Drosophila melanogaster: one gene and its partner. The protein of the gene in region 2 purifies or fractionates together with the protein of the main gene of each other region. This does not show direct contact. Each region holds a gene or a part of one and is shown on either strand. Other genes may lie near its edges. The genes, in order: Fs(2)Ket and Pen.

Region 1 (4,989 bases), about 11 Mb from region 2:
TTGAACATGGTCAGCAGAGCGGTCATAATGGCATCGGAAATTTGAGGCGCATCCTGCTCGTGGACCTTTCTCAAAACGCTTTGCAGAGTGGCGCACAGAAGCGATTGTAGATCGTTGAACTGATGACGATCGCTGTGATTGTTAATCTGCGTTTCCATCTGCATCACCTGGTTCAAGCGCTCCAAAATCACCAGCGTGGTGCGCTGGACCACCAAGTAGCAATCCAAGGGAGAGTTCTTGATCATATCCATAAGTGCCTGATAAGCAGCACATCGCAAATTGGCTTGAGCTCCGTCCGATCGATCAGTGGTCTCCAGCAACTGGGTAATGATGTACTCAAAGTACGGGGACAGGGCGTACGTCTCCGGAGTCTCTCCGTCGTTGGTGACCGCTGCCTCCCAAGCTGCATCGGAAAGTCCAATGAAGGCCCAACACACGTTGGCTGCTACACGCGGCTCTGACTTTAGGCTCTTCACGAAGCACTCCAAAAGCGTTTGAAGATATGTCTCGTTGATAGCCGCCTCGGGAATTATCTGTCAGGAAAAAGCAGTAGAAGGTTAGTATGACAATATGAATCACCTTAAAAATCACCACTACGCACATCGCAAATACGTCCGAAGGTCCAGGCGATGGTATCGCGCACGATAACGCTGGAGTCGTACATCAGTCGAATGAGCGTGGGCATGGCTTGCTCCACGAGCGGCTTTAAGGTATTGGTCTCCAATCCATTCAGCACGGAGCCGAAAGTCATTACCGCTGCGTCGCGGAATCGCCAATTAGGTGACTCGATGTTCTCCTTGATGAAGGGAAGCACATGTGGCACGATCTCGTCCTCGCAACATGTGGCCAGCACCATGAGGCAAACGGAGGCGGCCTTCGCCGGGCTCCAGGTGTCCTCGTCATCGCACTCGTCCTGCTTGGTTAATTTCTCGACGAGCACAGGCGTCAGGAACTGCAGAGCACCTCGAGCATAGTGCTTGGACACTCTCTGCGGAGCGCGGCCCTGATCAGTGGCCTCCTGGCTTTCGATGGCCAGATCTATCTCCTCATCGCAGACGTTCGACCAGAACTCTATGCCCTGCAGCGCTACAGCATCGTTATCAGACTTCATGGCCGCCAAAGTAATAGGGAAAAGAGCCTGTGCCATGTAGGGCTCCATGTACTGGTAATAAAGGGTCATAATCTTCACCAGGCACTGCAGAGCGGCAACGCAGATTTGCGAGTCCTGGCACTGAGTGGCCTCGCACACCACCTCCATGATGAAGTTGCGCTCCATGTCTTTCTCAAAGTTCGATTTGGTGAACTCCAACGAGTTGTGAAGGGCCGTGGTGGCCGCCAAGCGTACATGATTGCTCGGCTCTACCTTTCTCATGCCGTGAATAATAGCAGTCAGCACATCGTTCGACTGGTTCTCCATGACGCCGAAACGAATGTCCTGGCAAATGTAGCCAATGGCCTCCAGCGCCGACTCGCGATGCATCTCGCTGGATCCTTCGCTGACCACCTTGTTCACCAGTGTCTGGATGAGCATGGGCCAGCGGTTTATCGGCAGCTCAATCACGGCCACATAGGCCACGCACTGGGCGGCGCAGGAGGGTCGGGTGTTCTCGGTACCCAAAGCAGCCAGGATCTGAAAGTAAGTCGCAGTTATTCAGTGCCAATTGTACAAGTCATATGTTTCAACATCAGCGTATGTAACTTACGTTATTCTTGATCAACTCGCGGATCTCGCTGGGAAACTGATGCCAGCGATCCTGGTACTGTTGGCTGACCTTCTCGTCCTTGCTGGTCAGGTGGTTCTTCAGCTGGAGACCGGCTGCCATTCGCGCCACCGCACTGTTGGCCGTGTTCACCAGTATCTCTGACAGCGCCTTGAGAAACTCGGGCAGGTTGCTGGCCGCCGCCTGCTCCAGAAAGTTCTTCGCCGATAGCAGCTCATTTTTGTCTGAAAATGCGTCATTTGGTTGGTTAGACATTTTTAATTTCCAATTATGTCAACGAAAGATTTTATTTGTGGGCCTACACACGCCCACCATTTTGGGTCGGCTTAAAGCTTTGGTATCAGGCCATTGAATTTTACAACAATTGACTTTTGGGAATGTGAAGGCAAGATAGGAACTTTTAGGCAAGGCGTATATAGTGAGAATATTGTTTAATAAGAATACAATAGATGGTGAAAGAAGTGTGTGCATATGAAGAGCTAAGCAGTAAGGTCTAGTAATGAATTGTAGCGGTGGAGCATAAAATCTTCAGGCAAGGGGCAAGTTTGCAGGCATTCCTTATCAGCAACCGGAAGAACTGGCCGCCAAGCATACGGTGGTGACTCCGAAGCGACGCCTCATCGATTCCTAGAGTTAGTGAGGTTATGTCGCAGGCGGTTCGTACATCCTTAATTGTAGGAGCGCAAGCATTGCGAATACATACAGACGCGCCGCCAAGTTTCCCTTGGAGTATGTACGTGGATGCACATGTGTGCGGAGGCCCCTAGCAACCAAACATATGCGAGCGCCTATTGCAACCCTGCGCAACATATAACGCGCGTCCCTCCCGCCAATCGAAGAAAAATCCATATTTTTCGGATCTATACACACACGTTTGTAGCAGTGGGGAAACTCACCTGGCGACACCGTCTTTTCCAAAATGGCAATCAATTGCATGGCGATATCGGAAGTCATGTCTTCGCTCTTTTCCTCTCTATATGATTTCTACTTCACTTTCCGTTTCTTTCTGCAGCTCGTGCGTCTGTGTGGGTGATGGAATTTTTGCGTAATTACTAGACAACACTAGTCTGTCGGCTGCAAATGGTGGAGACAAAAGAGTTAAAGTTATTGGGCTGCTCCGCTGAAGCTGGCGATTTTATTTCGACAGGTTGCAACACCTTGATTGTCAAAAGAATTGATTTTTTCGCACACACGCACACAACAAGCGCGTTCAGTAGAACTCTTCATTCTACTCACATTGTTGTTTGGTTATTTTTCGGGAACGGTAAAAAAGCGCGGGATTCCTAACGGCGATTTTCTTAGTTATTATTATAAGCCTATTTAATGGTGGCAGAACCTTTATCTGCTCTTCGGGAAGTGCAGGCAATATATTTCTTGTGTCTCCGATTTGAAATAGAGCTGAAACGAATGTCGATTTTTATTTGATAGCACTGAGTTTCGATGAAAAAGGCGACACCTATTCGATTGCTTTATTCGAACTATCGATAATTTTTAAATCTAATAACGTATTAATTAAATATTCTTAAATGCGTAGGAAATGTGCAACCATTTGACAAAATATATTATTAGTCAGGAACGATAAGACCAAAATACTTACTACTTGTATTAAAACGCGTTTGCCTCCCCAAAAATCAATCGTTAAATTTGAATGATTGTGCTTATCGAAAATTTTCATATTCAAAGATAAGCACGGAAGCAAAACCTCGAACGAACTAAATAATCGAATACTTTGACTTAAGAGTCGTAGGTAAAAAACTAACAAATGAACAAAATTTGATTACTATATTAAGAAACAGTGGATAAAAATAGTAATATCTTAGAAGTATCACACGTATACGTGTGTATATTGGTTGCATTCGCTTACTGAACAGGGGAATTAATTAATTTAAATATAAAAGTTTATTAAGTCTACCAAATTTCGTTTTGCACGTAATAATAATAAGAGCTAAAGGTTTTCGCGGTAATATTTAGCTTTGCAAATGCTGGTAGTTTTTTTGTCAGCCAGTTGGCAGCCCTCTCAGCTGTACTAGGTGGCAACGCTGCTACAGTGCTGACGTTCGGCAAAAAAGAGGAAACGTAGTAAAAACACTCGAAAAACTCCGTATATTCCGATAAATATCCAGATAGTACGGTTTGTGCGTGGCCCGCCGATCCGGAAAGTGTGGCAGAGAATCGCGGACACGGCCACGTTGTGATTACAACCCGTACAAGTAAAGGAAGAAGGTCTGCTACTCCTGCCGTTCGTTGGTTACCCCAATTCGAGATGATCCTGCTATCCGGACTTCTGCCGCTCCTGGGCGTCGTTCTCTTGCACCTTGCGACCCCGACACAGGCCTTCTATCTGCCCGGACTGGCACCGGTCAATTTCTGCAAGAAAACCGACGTCTCATCCACATGCAAGGTAGGTGTATACGTATGTGCAGAAGTGCAGATGTACATATGTACGTAGATAGTGGGTGTGTTTGCCCCACGCCCGCCACAATTAGCAAAGGCACTGGAACTAGTTATGTACATTGGTTCTATATTCCTCTAATGGTGGTCACAGGCGGAAGCACTGATAAGCGCAGTAACTAGTTATATGTGGGGTCCATATGTGGCCCTCTATCTCAACTTCTGCTGACGTTGCCTACGCCAGCTCTCTTTCCTAGCGACAGCTAGATGGGAGTTCTAATGTTGGTTCAGCTGGCTCGCGAATGCGATTTCGGGGGCTCCCGACCTTAAGAATCTTAACATAGTGGCGGCTAACCAATAATTGAACCAGGGAACGCGGTTAGCTTGTCATGCTTCCTTGCATTATGTTTGGGTTATTTTCTTTTTAGTAATAATAGTATAACACAATAACAATATAAATTCAGGACAAAGTATAATTTTTAGTTTGATATCCCAAATAGATGGGGTTAGCCCTTTTAAAAGATGACCTAACTATTGGATGATAAAGCGTGAGCTATTGGTTTTGTTTGCTTCATCTTATCTTTAAACAAATCTAAACAACTTTTTAATATACCCGTAGGTCAAGAAATCCTAATCGGTTTATACGCCCTTAAATTAGACGTTGCCCAATGATAAGAATTAATTAAGGTGTTTCACATTCAATTGTTTCTAACAATCTAAGAGAGCTTTTTGATAAGATAAATTTCTAAGAACCCAAAGTAAAAGCAAATTACGGGGTCAAATTATCGAACGCATTTGCAAACTTTTGGAATTTTTACCAAACTTTAATAATTATTTCCACGATAAGATTAAAATACACTAGTATTATCAACAGTTG
Region 2 (5,735 bases):
AGCTCCGGATGGCGGCCAATGCTTCCACAATTCAGTTCGAATTTTCGGCAACTACTTTGCCCATGCTGAATTTTTAATCTATTTTTATAATTTGTTTTGCCACACACACACACGATTCGCCGAATTCGACGCACTGCATCCGATGGGAACAAGATCGTACGTGGACATGGTTGTTGATGTGACGTCGTCGCTCCACTGATTAAGCTTACCCTCTGGATCACTGCAATAACCACGAACGCTGCGATTCATCTTGATTGAGTTGTGCGTGGTGCGCGTTCTGTGCCAGTAGTAGACTACTACTCACTACTCACTCGTCGGTTGTTTAATCATTATATCTAATCTGGAACTTTTTTGGGGTCGCTGTCCACCGCTGCTCGAGTGGGCGTGGCTGCGGTAGATAGCTCTTAATCTTCCGGCTATCCGCTTACGGCCCAAATGCGATTTAAATGTACAAGACAAAAAAAAAAACATGTATTGACTGCATGACTTTTTATCGCGGATTTACGGACAAAAGGCGCCAGCGCATCGAAGGGATAACATTTTAAATTCGATTGCCTGCATCGGTGTATATCCCAATAGCATTCCAAATAATATACAAAAAAAAATGCCAAGGCCCAAAAATAGGCTCCAATTTTCGCAATGCTCAAATGCAGCTTAAATACACATGAAATTTAATTAATCATTCAAACAATTCATTATTTATTGACAACTTTGAATATAAACATGCGATTCGGGAATGAGGACACTGGTGTGAAGGGAATGAGTTGTTGTTGTTGTTGTTGTTGTTGTAATGCTTGCGCGAAGGTGGAGGATTAAAAGCGTTTCCTGTATACATAAATAAATACTAAACAGCCTAAAATATATCCGAAATGAGCTCGAAACGTATCCAATAAAAAGCCTAGTACACGCAAACATAAGGTGCCCCCTGTACAGACGGATTCTGGAAATACTATGATCCACGGATCCCAGCCAGCGCAGCTGCCCGAGCGGTTGCATCGTGAACGAGGAACACTGCCAGAAAGATCCATGCTGCAATCTGTGAAGTCTAGTCTAACGCGAGGAATACGGGTATGTTAAATGGGGATTCATGCGAGTGGATTTTGCCAACCCGATTCAATTATGACTTTAAGCTAATGCATTCGCCTGTGTTTCCATGCATACCTCCAAAGTGTTTGGGAATGTTTGTAAGATGTGATGATGAGTATGCGTATGTTTGACAATGGCATAGTGTGTGAGCGCGGTCGAAGGTGTAGTTGTTTGTAAGGCGTGTGAGCGGAGTTTGGAATGTGTGGGGTGGGCGATTAGAACGTGTAGCCACCTTCGGGAGCCTTGGGCTGGGTGGCATTGAACTCGAGGGCTCCGTTGACCTCCTGAGGTGCGAGCTCTTGCTCGGCCTCGTCGTCGCCGTTGCTGAAGTATGTGTCAATGATGGCGTAGGCCTTCTTGTAGACCTCCTCGTTCTCGTGCTGCTGCAGAGTTTCCAGCTTGTCTAGACCGCCCATCTCCTCGACCATCAAGCATAGGTTCTCGGTGCCACCAAGTTTCTCCGCCAGGGCAAACAGATTGGATAGGCCCGTCTGCACCACCTTGATGGTACGCGGATCCTTTGTGTCCAGCAAATCGATAAAAGGCTTCAATATTTTGTACTTCTCAATTAGATCGACGATCTGTTCGGGAGTGCCAGATGTCGTGGTGTTTGTCACCGCCCAGGCAGCCTCTTTTTGAGCCTTGAAATCACCCTTCTCCAGCACGGTGCGCAGCTGCTGGAAGATGCCGGCCTGAATCACAGCCTGGATCTGCTTCTGGTTACCTGCTGTGATGTTGCTGACCGTCCAGGCAGCCTCCTTCACAATGTTGCTTTTGTTGTGCTGTAGAAGGAGTCCCAGCCTTGGTAAACCTCCAGATGCAATTACAACGTCAGTCTAATAAAAAAAAAAAAAAAAAACAGGTCGGTCAGGCATGTTATAACAATAAGGATTAAAATCATTTGTTTTCCTACCTGTTGATCTGTGCCAGTCACAATGTTGCCAACGCTGCGCAGGGCGGGCACAATAATGCTCGGCTCGTCCATTTGCAGCAGTTTGACCAGGCGCGGCACTGCGTCCGAGTCGACCACAGCCTGGATCTTGGTGTTATCGTCGTCCGTGACGTAGGACAAAGCCCAGCAGGCGTCGGCCAGCACTTGGATGTCCTGACTAAGCAGAAGCTGCGACAGGACGGGCAACAGCCGCTTCACCTGATCGAATGGCGGCGATGGATTCTTGTTCCGGCACAGGTTGGACATCAGCCAGACGATGTTGCGCAGAAAAGAGAGCGGTGTCTCATTGTTGATCAGTGGCAAGATTCCGTCAATTACGTTGTGGTGGATGACAATGTCGCGGGCGGCGGCTCCGTCGCCGGCAATGTTGCCCAGAGCCCAGACTGCCTGCTCGGCCAGGTTCATGGACTTGGACTGGAGCAGAGCCACGAAATGCGGCACAGCATTGTGTTCGATAACGCAGCGCGTTTGGTCGGATGTGCCAGAGGCGATGTTGGTAAGCGCCCAAGCGGCCTCGAACTGCAGCATTGAGCTGTAGCGGCGAATCAGGGGATATTCAATAATGCTCTCATCAACATTCTAAAGCCACTACTCACTTGTTGGTATTCTGCAGGAAGCGTATGCAAATGGGCACAATACCATGGCCGATCATCAGGTCGATGGGTGGATTGCGCTCCCGACTGAGCATCTTGCGGGCAGACTGCATGCCCAGAAACTGGCGCTCCTGATCCTCGCTGTTCATGGCCGCCACTATCTCGTCCACGGACAGCTGCACCGGCGACTGGCCATTGAGCTCTTTGAGCGGCGACGTTAGATCCTCGTCGTTGATGTTGCGCCGCTTGAACATCTGGTCCTCCTTTTTGGACTTGCGCAGCTCGATGGTCACCTCATGGCGGCGCATGCGTGAGTCCTAGGGCAAAAAGTGAGGTTAGTTCCGAACGCAGTTCTGCGGAGGATCTTGTGTACATTACCTGCGTGTTAATGCTGTTGGCCTTGTAGGAGCCCTGTCGTGAGTTAGAATCCGCCTTACTCATTTTTTTTTTTTTTTTGAGTTTTGTGTTTTTTCTTTAAAAGTTTAGATGTTTGCTGCTGCGATGAAATGTGTGAAACTGAAAAGGAAAATGTGAGTCAATGTCAGGAAGAAGCAGAATCAAGGGCTGCTTGGGTTCTTTTTTTTTATCTCTGTCTTTTATATTCCTTTCGGCGTGCAACAGGGGCGTAACCATGAGTTCAAAAAAGGGGTTTTCTTTGTGGCCAGCAACTCGATATGTTATTCCTATGTGTTAGCCAACATAAGCCAACTAATTTACAAGATTATTTTTAACGGGGCACCCAATCGCTCAAGCCCCCGCGAGTTAAGAACTACGCCTTTGGTTGGCAACAGCTGCAGCAGCCGCCATTTGCCGATTCGCGGAAAGAGGGGAACGAGAAGAGGAGATCACGAAGAGGCGGTCAAATTGATGAACGCTAGTAAAAAGCAGTGGGAAAAACCGCGAAAAGGAAGAAAAGAGTACACACGCACTTACCTTTGTACCTTTGCCCTTTTGAATGCGTGTGCTGGCTTTTTCGAATGGAAATTCACTTTACTGAATTTTTACACAATTTTTATCGTTCCCTAACGAAACGCGAGCACGAGAATTTGTCGAGCGTGTTAGCACGCTGAATGTGTCGGTGAAACTGTAGACAAACGTAGACAGTACTCTCGTAATCGATGCGAAATTGGAGTCAATGCCTGCTTGGCGCCGCCAGAATTTACCGTTTGATTTGAAAAGCAAGCCTTAGTGGCGAACGAAACGCAGATGGCTATCGATCTTTGTCAGTTATCGAAATTTGATGCCAGTGTGAACGTAGGTGCCTAATATCGCATGTTATCTTGCTGTTAACTTCGGACAACGGCGCGTAGAGAAAAATAATGTACATTTTTTATATCCACATAATTATTACTAAATTTTTAAGTAACTTATTATTTTTTTAGTATATATAAATTTCTGGTGTAACTTGTTAACGATCGCTTGCCAAGTGGTGAAGCAGCTTTTGGATTTCAATATGTTGTTGTGGAACGTGGAACGTGTGCGCATGCAAGCCAAATTCAGCCAACAGCTGAATAGAAGTCGGCTGAATCTGCACACCACGCGGGCTCATTTAAATGTTTATGACAAATGTTTATGTTTTACTTTCTCGTCTTTACTTTTGTAAGGAAAACCTTCATCTTAAAATAATATAATATTAATAATGTTTAATATTAAGGCTATACGTTTAAAAGCTTCAATTACAATTTCCATAAATATTTATGTTCAATCTTTGTTGTTAATTTATTCAACGAATATGTGTTAAAATGTAAAGCTCTATCCATATTTAATAAGACAAAAAATAGCCACCTAAATCAATATTTAATTGGATAATAAAAGGTACTGATTTTATCTGTCTACCTTTAAATATAAAATTTGATTGTCTCTTTTTTTTTGCTTGCAAATATGTTATCATTGCACTAATACCATTTAATCTCTCGATTATCAGTAATAATGCAATAAATGCGCAGATATTTCCGGTTAATGCTCTTTTCATTTTGTTTATATGCGGTTGTCAGAAATAAACAAAATTTTTTTTAGAGATGATTGCTGCCAATCGATTTAGTCCCTTTTTCAATTGTTTGTTTTTCGATTCTTTGAGAAGTAATCCGCTAAATTAATGTGGTAAATTAATTATTAAAATCGCCGCATTTAAGCTTTTGAATTATCAGCTTATAAATGTAACTAAACTACATTTAATTTGAATTAGTAGACAATTTTTTATGTATTCTCGAAGTATTTTATTCATTTCCTTATTAATTTCAACAATATTTCCGTTCATAATCCAATCTAGGCCGTCTTCTTGTTCTCCTCCGTAACTGGAGCAGCGGTGGTGGTGGTGCTGCTGGCCTCCGGGGCAGATCGTGCCTCCACCACGTCGGAATCATCGCTGTCAGGAGCTGGGGAGGATTGACCAGCTGGCGAGTAGGGTGGGAACTGCTGATCCTGGGGATAGGTTTGCTGCTGCTGCTCCTGCTGCTGCTGCTGACCCTCGTTGTAGTCAATGGGAGTGGGTTCCAGCTCGGGCTGTTGGGCCACAGGAGACTCCACCACCTCACCCTGCTGCTCGGCAACCTGTTGAATCTGCTGTGGGGCGAACACCTGCTGGTGTGGATAGTAGATGGGAGCGGGCAGCGAGGCAACGGGAGCGGAGGAAATATGGACGGGAACTGGAGCTGGAGCGGAGACGGAAACCACTGGAGCAGCAACTGCGCGGGCAGCGACAACCGGTTCCCGCTGGACCACCGCATTGAATCCGTTGATGTCGTCGGCGGTGTAGGTCACTGTGCGCTTGAAACCATCGGCATCCAGGACGGAATAGGATCCCACAACATTGCCACCGTCACGGGTCTCCACCTGGCTTTTGATATCGCCGGTGATGCTGTCGTGAACGCCGTAGGAGAAGTCGTAGCGCGGCGAAGATTCCAACTCTACCTGTTTCAGTACAGCGGGAGCAGCAGCCACAGTCTTGACCACTGGAGCAGCGACCACGGGAGCAGCAGCCAGGGTCTTCACCACCGGCGCAGCAACGGGCAGAGCGAGAGGAGCAGGAGCCACCGCCTTGACAACTGGAGTGGGCAGGGCATAGGATCTGGTGTATACAGGAGCAGCTGGCACAAAGGTCTTGG

The links.
Region 1: the proteins of Pen (region 2) and Fs(2)Ket purify together in Drosophila melanogaster (affinity purification with western blotting, with the first as the bait; one study listed by BioGRID). This does not show direct contact.

The regions. Positions count from the first base shown.
Region 1 is NT_033779.5:20,733,059-20,738,047, reverse strand, and holds the start of Fs(2)Ket (female sterile (2) ketel), read right to left. Parts: upstream 3,138-4,989; 5' UTR 2,958-3,137; exon of another isoform or gene 2,879-2,957; intron 2,796-2,878; 5' UTR 2,676-2,795; coding exon 2,618-2,675; intron 1,946-2,617; coding exon 1,704-1,945; intron 1,631-1,703; coding exon 602-1,630; intron 534-601; coding exon 1-533. Other genes in the region: TM9SF2 (transmembrane 9 superfamily protein member 2), read left to right, coding at 3,985-4,122.
Region 2 is NT_033779.5:10,055,034-10,060,768, reverse strand, and holds Pen (pendulin), read right to left. Parts: upstream 3,870-5,735; 5' UTR 3,565-3,869; intron 3,148-3,564; 5' UTR 3,073-3,147; coding exon 3,010-3,072; intron 2,949-3,009; coding exon 2,635-2,948; intron 2,571-2,634; coding exon 2,000-2,570; intron 1,923-1,999; coding exon 1,302-1,922; 3' UTR 674-1,301; downstream 1-673. Other genes in the region: Cpr31A (cuticular protein 31A), read right to left, coding at 4,897-5,735. UniProt on the Drosophila melanogaster protein: Binds specifically and directly to substrates containing either a simple or bipartite NLS motif. Promotes docking of import substrates to the nuclear envelope. Seems to act as a cytosolic receptor for both simple and bipartite NLS motifs.